Linked DNA regions of Arabidopsis thaliana. The protein of the gene in region 1 interacts with the protein of each later gene in a pairwise test. Each region holds a gene or a part of one and is shown in the gene's direction. Other genes may lie near its edges.

Region 1 (4,544 bases):
ACAAAATACATATTTTCATTTGTATGCAACCAGAATAAAACACTAACTATCTCCTTTAAATACCATTTTCCCTACGAGTCTACGACGCTCTCTAAACTTCTTATACAAAACAAAACACACCCAAATATGCATAAGCTTTTGTTTTCTCTTCTCTCCGTCGTCTCACTCTCATTTCTCCTCTTCTTCCATGGCGCCGAGGCACGCCAGCGAGAGGCGCCGTTTCCAAACGCCTGCCATTTCAGCCAAATCAACAGCCTCGCGCCCGCTCAGGCGACGAAGTTCGAAGCCGGTCAGATGGAAGTATGGGACCACATGAGCCCTGAGCTCCGATGCGCCGGTGTAACGGTGGCTCGCATCACCCTTCAGCCCAATTCCATTTTCTTGCCCGCTTTCTTTAGCCCACCTGCCCTTGCTTACGTTGTCCAAGGTAAGAAAATAAATAAATACGCTTTTTGATCAAGACCTAATTAAAAACTCGCAACCTATAGAAAATCTAAAAAAAGTGGTCTTTTATTTTAATTGTTTTCAGGAGAAGGAGTTATGGGGACGATTGCTTCTGGTTGTCCTGAGACTTTTGCAGAAGTTGAAGGATCATCAGGAAGAGGAGGAGGAGGAGACCCGGGTCGACGTTTTGAGGACATGCACCAGAAGTTGGAGAATTTCCGGCGAGGGGATGTGTTTGCTTCGCTTGCCGGAGTTTCACAGTGGTGGTACAACCGCGGTGATTCCGATGCCGTCATTGTCATTGTTCTTGATGTCACCAACAGAGAAAACCAGCTTGACCAAGTCCCTAGGGTAATCATCAAATTCAAGAAAGTCCAAATTTGTACTGCATGCAAACTATATGACTACCACTCAGTGATTAAAATAGTGATTCATATATATAACACATAATGTCATTTTTTTGTGAACCCTTCATATGTAGATGTTCCAACTAGCCGGGAGCAGAACGCAAGAAGAAGAACAACCATTAACGTGGCCATCAGGCAACAACGCTTTCAGCGGTTTCGACCCAAACATAATCGCGGAAGCATTCAAAATCAACATCGAGACAGCTAAGCAACTACAAAACCAGAAGGACAACAGAGGAAACATAATCCGAGCAAATGGTCCTCTCCATTTCGTCATCCCACCGCCTCGTGAATGGCAGCAAGATGGCATTGCTAATGGCATCGAAGAGACTTATTGCACGGCTAAGATTCATGAGAATATCGATGATCCAGAACGGTCTGACCATTTTAGCACACGAGCCGGAAGAATCAGCACTCTTAACAGCCTTAATCTCCCTGTTCTACGTCTAGTCAGACTTAACGCCCTTAGAGGTTATCTCTACAGCGTAAGTATCCCACTTTTAAATTAGATTTACAAATTCTTTATGTGCTATATAATGAATTCTCGTGGAGATAGGGAGGAATGGTGTTGCCACAATGGACGGCAAACGCGCACACGGTGCTATACGTCACAGGAGGTCAAGCCAAGATACAAGTGGTGGACGACAATGGTCAGTCGGTGTTCAATGAGCAAGTGGGACAAGGCCAAATCATTGTGATTCCACAAGGCTTTGCAGTTTCAAAAACGGCTGGTGAAACGGGTTTCGAGTGGATATCATTCAAGACAAACGATAACGCTTACATTAACACACTGAGCGGCCAAACATCGTACTTGAGAGCAGTTCCAGTGGATGTGATCAAAGCGTCATATGGAGTGAACGAGGAAGAAGCCAAGAGGATCAAGTTTAGTCAGCAAGAGACCATGTTGTCTATGACACCAAGCTCTTCTTCTTAAGCTCTTTAATTGCTTCCTTTAATGTTTTTTTAGATTTTCCAGTCACTGAAATAAATAAAGATGAGACTAATAACCAACTTTTCACAAAGCTTCAATAACAAAATTTCAGATTAAAAATTCCTACTAACATACACATCTTAGCTTTTATGATTACGTTGATTTTATTTTGTTAAATTTGATTACGTTGATTAGTGTATATATTAAATTAAAATCATTGAAAGGATAATGATAACACTAATAAAAAAAAGAAGAAGAAGGTTACGGTCTCGTAAAGCTTTCAAAAGTCCGCAACGATCACACACGTCTTTCTCCGAAACTCGTCTGAGAGAGGCTCTGAGATTCGATGTCGTTCGAGGAAGAAGAAGAGGAGGAAACATTCGAGCATACACTTCTCGTGGTGCGTGAGGTCTCCGTTTACAAGATCCCGCCGCGAACCACATCCGGCGGATACAAGTGCGGCGAATGGCTTCAATCCGATAAGATCTGGTCTGGTAGACTCCGCGTCGTATCGTGCAAGGATCGATGCGAGATCCGCCTCGAGGATTCGAATTCCGGTGATCTTTTCGCAGCTTGTTTTGTGGATCCTGGACGTAGAGAGAACTCTGTAGAGCCGTCTCTCGATTCGTCTAGGTATTTCGTTCTCAGGATCGATGACGGGAGAGGGAAGTATGCGTTTATCGGGCTAGGATTCGCTGAGAGGAACGAAGCGTTTGATTTCAATGTTGCGTTATCGGATCATGAAAAGTACGTTAGGAGGGAGAAAGAGAAGGAGACAGGGGAAACGAGTGAGAGCGATAATCATATTGATATCCATCCTGCCGTTAATCACAGATTGAAGGTAAACTGATCTGTTCATAAGCTAGCTTTTGGAATTAAGATAGGATCAATGCGGAATCTGATAATTTGGAGAAATCTGATTGAAGCTTTCAGATCTATTTTGGAAAAACAACTATCGAATCCAATGTGGAATTGATTGATTCAGATACGTTTTGTAGTATCATTCTCATTGCAAAGTTCTTATCTTGCTAGTAGGCTATAGCTAAAAGTTGCTTGGTCTTGGTGTTTGTATCAGTGATGAGAATATTTTGGATGCATTATCTGCTGAGATTGATTAGCTATTCGTTATTTGGATTTTCTAATTTCCTTTATTTGTAGTGTTATTTGGTGGAAGATCTTTGTAGTTTGTATGCTCTGTGTAGATATTAGGATGAGTAAATAGTACCAGCCTTAATTTTTCTCGATCTTGTGTTGTGTTCATCATCTCTAATCTTAAATTGATGCTGCTATATGTCTTGATTTTGCTCTTTTAGTCTTCACAGATGGTTCATAATCACAAGTTTTGTTTTAGCATCCACTCGTAGTTGCAGAACATACTCATTTGATTTTGTTTACTCAATATCTTTCTCTGGGAACCGTAACTGTAGAATCAATATTTCAATTCTGATTGAACTCCATCATTTATCCGGAAAAGGAAAATTCTTGGCATTTGGACTTGGTAGAACCTGAAAAGATTGTTGTTTTGATGGGTTTTAAGGAAGGTGAAACCATAAGAATCAACGTGAAGCCGAAACCAACAACAAATGGCACTGGGATGCTCTCAGCTGCTCTTTCAGGAACGGGGAAGCCAAAACCTCTAGCACTTGCCCCACCCCCCAAAGCTGCCGGAGTAACCAGGTCTCCTTTACCTCCTCCTCCAAACGATCCCGTCGCTTCAAGGATTGCATCTGATGGCTGCAAGGAATCACGCAGGAACGAGCCTCTATCTGATCTATCTCAGCTCAAGGTAAATAAACCTTGTCTTCTTAATTACATTTATTCTTATTCTCTAAGGTTACTCTAAATTATCCTTGATTTGGTAATACTCGGCAGAAAAATCTTCCTTCAACGGCGGGATCAGGATCGAGCAAGTCAACAGGAGCTGCATCAGGTTGGGCAGCTTTCTGATGAATGGAGTGTAAAATTTAAGTTATTGGACAAGTCCGGCTTCATCTTCTTGTGACTTGAGAGCACGAGACAATAGACAACAATGGTGGTCAGCCAACAGTCTTTTTGATGTATGTTAATGGTAAGTTGATGTGTGTTTCTTTGTAATCCTCCCACACTCCCTGTTTTAATTATTTTTCTTCCTTATAATCATCGTTGTTACATTATCGATTATCATTTGTATCACTGAGATATTAATATATACAAAAAGGCTTTTTCATAATTTCAACTTTTGCTTCTACGTAAAACTAAAATGCTAAATCTGTTTGCTATTGCATGACTAAGCAAATAAATGTACAAGAAAATATTACAAAAAAAAAAAAAAAAACATTTTGTACTCCCTTATACGCTGTCGTTTGGTTGACGATGCGTGATGACCAGCACACTGACGTGGCGACGTGCAAAGAGATACAATCGTTATATCACTGACGTGGCGAAAAGGTACTGGTATGACGTGGATTTAGCGTTGAACGAAACATATTTAAAGGACTGCATATTTGACCAAAGTAAACAATGTCGGTCCACCAACTAATCGTTACCTACTCCTTGTATCTGACCGCTTGAGAGCTTTTGGAGACTGGCAAAAATGGCGGAGAAAGATGCGACGGCGAGTGGCGATGACGCCATTAGAGTTAGCGGTATGCAATTCGCATACGAAGTTGAGGATCCAATATTCTTCGACTTCAACCTCGATCTTCCAGCTGGTTCTCGCTGTCTTCTGGTTGGTGCCAATGGATCTGGTACGATGATCGATTTCTAGAGAGAGATTTTCCTTG
Region 2 (7,931 bases), on another chromosome or scaffold:
CAACAATCCTTCTCCTCCACAACAGCAACAGCAGCACCAACAACAACAACAACAGCATAAGCCTCCTCCTCCTCCGATTCAGCAGCAAGAAAGAGAAAATTCTTCTACCGATGCACCACCGCAACCAGAGACAGTGACGGCCACTGTTCCCGCCGTCCAAACAAATACGGCGGAGGCTTTAAGAGAGAGGAAGGAAGAGATTAAGAGGCAGAAGCAAGACGAAGAAGGATTACACCTTCTCACATTGCTGCTACAGTGTGCTGAAGCTGTCTCTGCTGATAATCTCGAAGAAGCAAACAAGCTTCTTCTTGAGATCTCTCAGTTATCAACTCCTTACGGGACCTCAGCGCAGAGAGTAGCTGCTTACTTCTCGGAAGCTATGTCAGCGAGATTACTCAACTCGTGTCTCGGAATTTACGCGGCTTTGCCTTCACGGTGGATGCCTCAAACGCATAGCTTGAAAATGGTCTCTGCGTTTCAGGTCTTTAATGGGATAAGCCCTTTAGTGAAATTCTCACACTTTACAGCGAATCAGGCGATTCAAGAAGCATTTGAGAAAGAAGACAGTGTACACATCATTGACTTGGACATCATGCAGGGACTTCAATGGCCTGGTTTATTCCACATTCTTGCTTCTAGACCTGGAGGACCTCCACACGTGCGACTCACGGGACTTGGTACTTCCATGGAAGCTCTTCAGGCTACAGGGAAACGTCTTTCGGATTTCGCAGATAAGCTTGGCCTGCCTTTTGAGTTCTGCCCTTTAGCTGAGAAAGTTGGAAACTTGGACACTGAGAGACTCAATGTGAGGAAAAGGGAAGCTGTGGCTGTTCACTGGCTTCAACATTCTCTTTATGATGTCACTGGCTCTGATGCACACACTCTCTGGTTACTCCAAAGGTAAAATAAACATTACCTTTTAATCACTCTTTATCTATAAATTATTTTAAGATTATATAGGAAAGATATGTTCTAAAAAGTGGCTTTTTTGGTTAATGATTGGGGAATGAACAGATTAGCTCCTAAAGTTGTGACAGTAGTGGAACAAGATTTGAGCCACGCTGGTTCTTTCTTAGGAAGATTTGTAGAAGCAATACATTACTACTCTGCACTCTTTGACTCACTGGGAGCAAGCTACGGCGAAGAGAGTGAAGAGAGACATGTCGTGGAACAGCAGCTATTATCGAAAGAGATACGGAATGTATTAGCGGTTGGAGGACCATCGAGAAGCGGTGAAGTGAAGTTTGAGAGCTGGAGGGAGAAAATGCAACAATGTGGGTTTAAAGGTATATCTTTAGCTGGAAATGCAGCTACACAAGCGACTCTACTGTTGGGAATGTTTCCTTCGGATGGTTACACTTTGGTTGATGATAATGGTACACTTAAGCTTGGATGGAAAGATCTTTCGTTACTCACTGCTTCAGCTTGGACGCCTCGTTCTTAGTTTTCTTCTCCTTTTTCACAAACAATGTGCCCATAAATAGATTTACCTGTTTTTTTTTTGTTATGTATCAAAAAGAGAGGATTTTTTGAAGTCAAATTGTTCTCACTCACACTCTGTATTGGCTACCTGATTGGTGGAATACATAGAAGTTAATCATGAAGATTAGAACACTTGATATTGAAGAAAACACTTGAAAATGGTACATCAATAATAAAAATGATAACACGTTTAACTGAAAAATCATTTACAAATACACAATTCTTTTGAAGGCTACCATTTTTTTTTTTGGGAATTGTTATGTATTTTTTTTTTAGCAACTTGAATTGTTTTGGTTTACTTTTTTCCAAAAAAAAAATATATACATGTTGTTTTTTATTTTTGTTATGGCAAAGAAATTGAGATGTTTGGATTTTTCAATTAAAAAAAAAAAAACTCATCTACGCCTTTTCATATTTCGCTTGAACAACAACGAAACCCTAATCTGGTTAAAGTTGGATTCGGCCAAGTCCACCACCGTGGAGCTCTGAATTCATTTCTCTTGTAATTCATCGATCGCTGTTGAATATTTTCAATTTGAGTTCCCACGGTAGAAACCATTCCGATTTATACGGCTACTTCATCGCTCGAGCTCTCTCGTTTCTGTATCGATCGCAGCGTATCTGATTTGTCACCGGTTTCAGGCTTGTTTCTCTGACCTCTGGTTATCGGCTCCCTGATTTTGCGCTCTATCTATTAATCAATCTCTTATTCCAAGTCTTTGTTCCGCTGTTATCACAGCTCATCTTCATCTTCCATTCACTGGTGTCTTTGGTCCGGCGTCGTTGTGCTGCTTTCAGTTCATCACAGGTATTCTCATTTTTACCTGTTTCTTTTTTATTGAGGATTTCGTGGATGTGACCAGTTCAAGTTTTTTGTATGTTACTTTGTATAGCTTTTAAGACTCGATTACTGAGAATTTAGGCCTAATCGTCAGCTGAAAATATAATGATCTCTACTGTTGTATGCATTCTTCTCGTGCTTTTGTTACTTCATCGCCAATGCATGTTTTTCTACTCTGAGAGTGAGAGAATCTCTAGCTAGTTCCTACAAAGTCTCTTTGTGATCAGTGTTGGGAATTCTTAATTATATATGCATTAAGATATACCTGTCTCAGACTCTATACGTGATTTTCAGGAAAGAGCTTTAAATATTAAGCTTTGAATATTCTCTCAGACCATCAAAGATTTGCTTGGTGCACTGGCCGGAAATGGATCCTAGTCGATATGGTCGTCAGCAAGAATGGGATAATAACAGTGTAATTGTGGTTTTCTCCTTACATATATGGGATGATAAACAAGATATTTTTAGGGATGTTATGAATCTCAACTCATCCGTGGAGTGAGAGACTTGGGAGAGTGAGGATGTGGATGGGATTTGGCTAATGTAATATCCGTCAATGATGTTTGTTGCTGACATAGCTTATTCTCTTCAATTCACAGGCTCCGGAGGGTTATGGTACTCAGCATGATCCAAATCATCGGTGAGTGCTAGTAAAATGGATTACATTGATGTAGTTGTTAATTTGTTATTGCTCATGGGGGTATATTTATTTTAGCTACTGTAACTAAATTGTATTTCTTGTACTTTATTTGGTTTGGTTACTTGTGCCGAAATATTCATGATAGTTCATATTTCATTTTTTTAATATCTTTTCTGTACCTATACTACATTGCTCTTACAGGTTTGGCGTATCATATGATGACGGATATCCTGATGAAAGGTTGATGCGGGATGATGTCTACAACTATCCACCTGGACATAATACTCTGGGTGACTTGCCTCAATCTAGAAAGCGAAACTATGAAGAAAATTATCCCAGTGAACTTCGCAGGCAAGAAAAGCCTTACATCGATTCAAATTATGCTGCTGACTATTATCATGATAGTGAAGCTGGGAGTCGTAATGGACATTACCGTGATCATGAACACGAAAGGTCGTCCAGATATGATGGCTGCGATGACTATTCTTGTAATGATAACAACTATAGATCGAAAAATTACCATCATAGCAGAGATGATGGTCGTGAAAAAGATTATGATTATACTCGCCGAAGTTATGATTCTGAGTATGAAAGGGCCAGTGTGAGAGATGGCAGTCGAAAGAGCCGTGATCCGCAGGACAGAGAACGGAATTCTCGAGATAGAGAATGGGATTCACGTGATAGGGAGTGGGACAAAAGATGTTACAGCCGCGAAAGAGATGAGAGTCCTCATAAGAGATATGAGAAGTCACGATCTCGATCTACCGGACGTGGGGAGTTCTCTAGATCAAGATCTCCTAGAGGTCGGAGCCATGGGCGGAGTTACCGGGAGGACAGCTATGAGGGGGATCACTGGAATGAAAGTGAGAGGCGAAGAGAATATGAAGATAGACATAACCAGGATCATTTTTCTGCTGTATAAAATATTCTCTCATCCCTGGTCTATATTCTTTTGTTGCGAAGACATTTAAAAAATCCGTTCCTATATTTTTATGGTTTTTGCTAGACCCCATCCGCCACTGTTGTTGTGAAGGGTCTCTCTATGAAATCAACAGAAGAAGATCTATACCAGATTCTGGTAAACTCTTCATTTTTTTGAATCTGTATGTCCTCAGGTTTAAACAATTTTTCATGCATGACTTCATTATTCCCATGTGCATGCTAGGCTGAATGGGGTCCTTTGCATCATGTTCGTGTTATTCGGGAGCAAAATTCTGGGATTTCTCGTGGATTTGCTTTTATTGATTTCCCCACGGTGGTATTTGCTTTCAACTAATCTGTTAATTCCTTGCGCTTTTTCTTGTGATTTCTTCAACACTGTGTGCATTTATGTATTTTGTCTGAGCAGGATGCCGCACGCACCATGATGGATAGAATTGAGCATGATGGTATAGTTTTGGATGGAAGGAAACTTATGTTCCATTACAGGTCTTTTTTTAAATAAACATAAGACTTTGATTGATTTAGATATTACCTATGGAGGGATCATAGAATTACTACACATTTAAATTATTGTTTCTTGACCGTTTCAGTATCAGAGTATAACATTCTTACACTAAATTGCGTGTGTTGTAGCAGCCAACCTACTGGTAGGGCTGGTGTGTCCCGTAGGCAGGAACATGCTTCTAGACGCAGTTATGGTGGAAGTCGAAACATGATAGTTCCCACAGATTGGATCTGTACAATCTGTGGCTGTATCAATTTTGCGCGGCGAACCTCTTGCTTTCAGGTTGGTGCATTGTTTTGGATGAAAGTTCTGTAAATTTCATTGTCAGGACTAGAGTATAAACCCATCTGTTAAGAACAGAAATTACATATATTTAATTACCGGAAGAACTACTCATTGTTTGGTGATTCTAGAGTCTCAAACAAAGTGATAACTACTCATGATTTGGTGACGACAATACCTTAAAAAAAATAGAACCGATAAAACTTTCAGAATATATCTGTTTTTTGCTCCTTAGAGATTATTTGCAGTTCCTTTTGGTGACGAATATGTATCATCAATTGACACTTTGTTTGAGACTAGGGTGGCATACATATTTTGGTAGTAATGGTAAATGAACATTTTAATTTAATGTCGACACATTGATGTCCATACCTATGCTAGAATGTATTTGTTTGCATATACAATAGTTTGTTTGGAAATAGAGAAATTTCCATTTTTCAAATGTCAATAAAAAAAGAAGTCAACTAAAACCCTTTAACTGATCTTTTTTGATGGGTTTTTAATTTATCTTTCCTTCTATTTACTTAAACTCTGTGAAGTCTTTATCAATAGTTTAATCTTGTGGTGGACAATTGTATCTGTAGCCCTTCTTTGCCATGCCGCTGTCTGTGTCTTGATTTATGATAGAACACTCAAAAGTCCTAAGTTCAGTTATAATATGGAATAACAAATTTGTGGCCATTGCATAAATGTCTGTGATCTCTGTCTCCTTATGCAGTGTAATGAACCAAAGACCAAGGATTCTCCTTCAGCGGATGTAGGTTTATCAAACTCTGCAGCAGGAAAACGAATTTCTGAGACAGGTTCTGATCAGCATTTTTATTTAAGATGTTTTAAATTTCTTTCTTGAGTCAGAAACAGTCGCAACTGTTAAGGCCATAGTCTTTGTACTTTTCTACATGCCATATATACCTAAGATACATTCTGCTTATTTTCTTTTCCAGGTCCAACTCATGTCCTGGTTGTACGTGGGTTGGATGAAGATGCTGATGAGGAAATGCTTCGGTATGAATTTTCCAAACATGCTCCTATCAAGGTTAACAAAAACCCTTTTGGATTCGTTGTCTATTAAGATATTGTACTTTATATGTCAGTTGACCTGGTTTTCCTCTTTCCGCCATTTTGTAGGATCTTCGTCTTGTGAGAGACAAATTCACTCATGTTTCACGAGGATTTGCATTCGTGCATTTCTATTCGGTAGGGTCTCAAAGCCAAGTTGGTTGTTGAACTTACTCCTTAAACTCTCTCTTCTGCTTCGCTTTTCCCTTACTGATGATTTAAATTGCAAGTGTGCCTTTTGATCAAAGATTTATTCGATTGTGTAGAAATTAGAAACCCAGTCTAGATGATCAGTACCACCTGGTTTTTATTCTGCTTGTGAAGAGTGATTATGTTTTATAGTTTTTTTTTTTTATAAATGTTTAAGTGTCTCTTTAGTAATCATGATCTACTAGTTTTGTGGGTATTTTTGGCAATGTTTGGTGGTGAGCGCACTCAATCATTTATTTTGTCGTACTTTTTTATAATCTACATTCGACAACCACCTTTTGCATTGACTTGTAAAAGCTCTTGTAGTAGATTATTTATTTCGTCACTGATTCTCTTACCAATTTCATATCTGAACGGTGATCAGATTTTGTAGTAGAACTGCTTGATATGTCCAAATATCTATTTTCCCCCAGTTTATGTGTGTATTTGACTTTTTTTTAATCCACCTACCAACTTGAAACAGAAGATTATGATTATGTTCGTGTAGGTTGAGGATGCTACTAAGGCACTTGAAGCAACAAACAGAACAGCTCTTGAAAGGAATGGTAAAATTCTTAGAGTTGCGTATGCAAAGAGTGTTCATGGTTCTGGAACTGGTATATCAGCACCCTCGCACTCCAACAACCTCGCTGCTGCTGCAATTGAAGCAGCAACGTTTTCTCAACAGGTACTTGAAGATTGTTTTGATCCAGTTTCCCTCGTTTGTATTGGTGATCACACATTGATCATTTAATTAAATTTTCCAGTATCTTTAGATGAGGATTGTCATTCTTATGATTCTTCTACTCCATGTGCCCTGACACTCATGTTGGTCCTTATTAGTATGACGGTGTTGGATGGGCTCCAAAGGAATACAATACTGGTGAGAAACAAAACACTGGAGGGCAGGCCCAGGGTGTTGGGGAAATTGAATCCCAGAAAGGGACTTCTGCTCCACAGTCTGGCTATGTGTGGGATGAAGCATCTGGTTATTACTATGATGCGGCTTCTGGATACTACTACGATGGAAATTCAGGTCGGCATTTACTTATATTGTTATTTATTTCTTTGAATTGATTGTATGGTTGGGTAGCTGCAGCTCTAATTCCCATATCTGGCATTGCAAAACATGTAATGGGCAAAAGTAAGATTGATCCTGTTGGCTGGTTGTATAGTCCTGCTATAGATGTATTCTATTATAGGATAACTTCTTGGCAAAAATAAGTCGTCAGCTCTGGTTTGTTCAAACTATCCTGTTCTTTTTTATGATTGTGGAATTCTTATACTATGTATGCACCAAACTAGCAAACATCGAGATACAATCAATCAATCATACAAGTGTATGTCTTAATTAGACTTTTAAATAATGGCTGTAGGGATTCAGCAAGTGTTATATGATTACTATTATGGCTGCTGTTGGACTTCCAATGGAAGTTTTTTCTTTTAGTTATTGCTGAGTTATGCCTTCTTATATATGTGTATGTGCCTTAAAATTTCGCATCTGATATGGCACAATGATAGACTGTTTTAATGATCTTGGTTATCACTAGGCACCTCTTCTTGGTGTGTGGTGATGGGAAACTTGGTTTCACTGGTATAAGAAGTGGGTAATATTCTCTATTAATCGTATGTTTCTAAATATACAGGTCTCTATTATGACAGCAATAGTGGGCTTTGGTACTCGTATGACCAGCAAACACAACAATATGTTCCTTGTCCTGATCAGAACAATGAGAGTAAAGTAACAGAAAACCAACCAGACTCTGCCAAGAAGGAGAAATCCAGTCAACAAAAGGTTATTATCTCGGCGGCTACTACCCCTAATGTAGAAAAAGTTCTGTCCTTACCAGATGCGGTTCAGGCGGCTGCTGCAGCAGCAATTGCATCAGAGAAGAGAGAGAAAGAGAGAGTGAAAGAGATAAAACTTGCATCAAAGACTAGCCTACTCGCCAGCAAGAAAAAAATGAGTAACGTTTTAACAATGTGGAAGC

Evidence for each region. The genes of interacting proteins can lie anywhere in the genome.
Region 2: the proteins of ABCI18 (region 1) and SUA interact in a two-hybrid assay, tested with the Arabidopsis thaliana proteins (one large-scale study listed by BioGRID).

The regions. Positions count from the first base shown.
Region 1 is NC_003070.9:989,124-993,667, forward strand, and holds ABCI18 (non-intrinsic ABC protein 4), read left to right. Parts: upstream 1-1,982; 5' UTR 1,983-2,128; coding exon 2,129-2,623; intron 2,624-3,319; coding exon 3,320-3,568; intron 3,569-3,654; coding exon 3,655-3,729; 3' UTR 3,730-4,003; downstream 4,004-4,544. Other genes in the region: AT1G03890 (RmlC-like cupins superfamily protein), read left to right, coding at 127-427, 530-795, 926-1,336, 1,408-1,785; ABCI19 (P-loop containing nucleoside triphosphate hydrolases superfamily protein), read left to right, coding at 4,355-4,508.
Region 2 is NC_003074.8:20,071,182-20,079,112, forward strand, and holds the start of SUA (suppressor of abi3-5), read left to right. Parts: upstream 1-1,920; 5' UTR 1,921-2,124; exon of another isoform or gene 2,125-2,221; 5' UTR 2,222-2,290; intron 2,291-2,617; 5' UTR 2,618-2,690; coding exon 2,691-2,738; exon of another isoform or gene 2,739-2,922; coding exon 2,923-2,963; intron 2,964-3,164; coding exon 3,165-3,879; exon of another isoform or gene 3,880-3,969; coding exon 3,970-4,041; intron 4,042-4,128; coding exon 4,129-4,221; intron 4,222-4,311; coding exon 4,312-4,391; intron 4,392-4,538; coding exon 4,539-4,692; intron 4,693-5,410; coding exon 5,411-5,495; intron 5,496-5,636; coding exon 5,637-5,728; intron 5,729-5,820; coding exon 5,821-5,889; intron 5,890-6,448; coding exon 6,449-6,628; intron 6,629-6,783; coding exon 6,784-6,976; intron 6,977-7,586; coding exon 7,587-7,931. Other genes in the region: SCR (GRAS family transcription factor), read left to right, coding at 1-900, 1,015-1,444. UniProt on the Arabidopsis thaliana protein: Splicing factor that controls alternative splicing of the developmental regulator ABI3. Reduces splicing of a cryptic intron in ABI3, leading to a decreased in ABI3-beta transcript. Regulates the splicing of the receptor-like kinase SNC4/LRKL-2.6.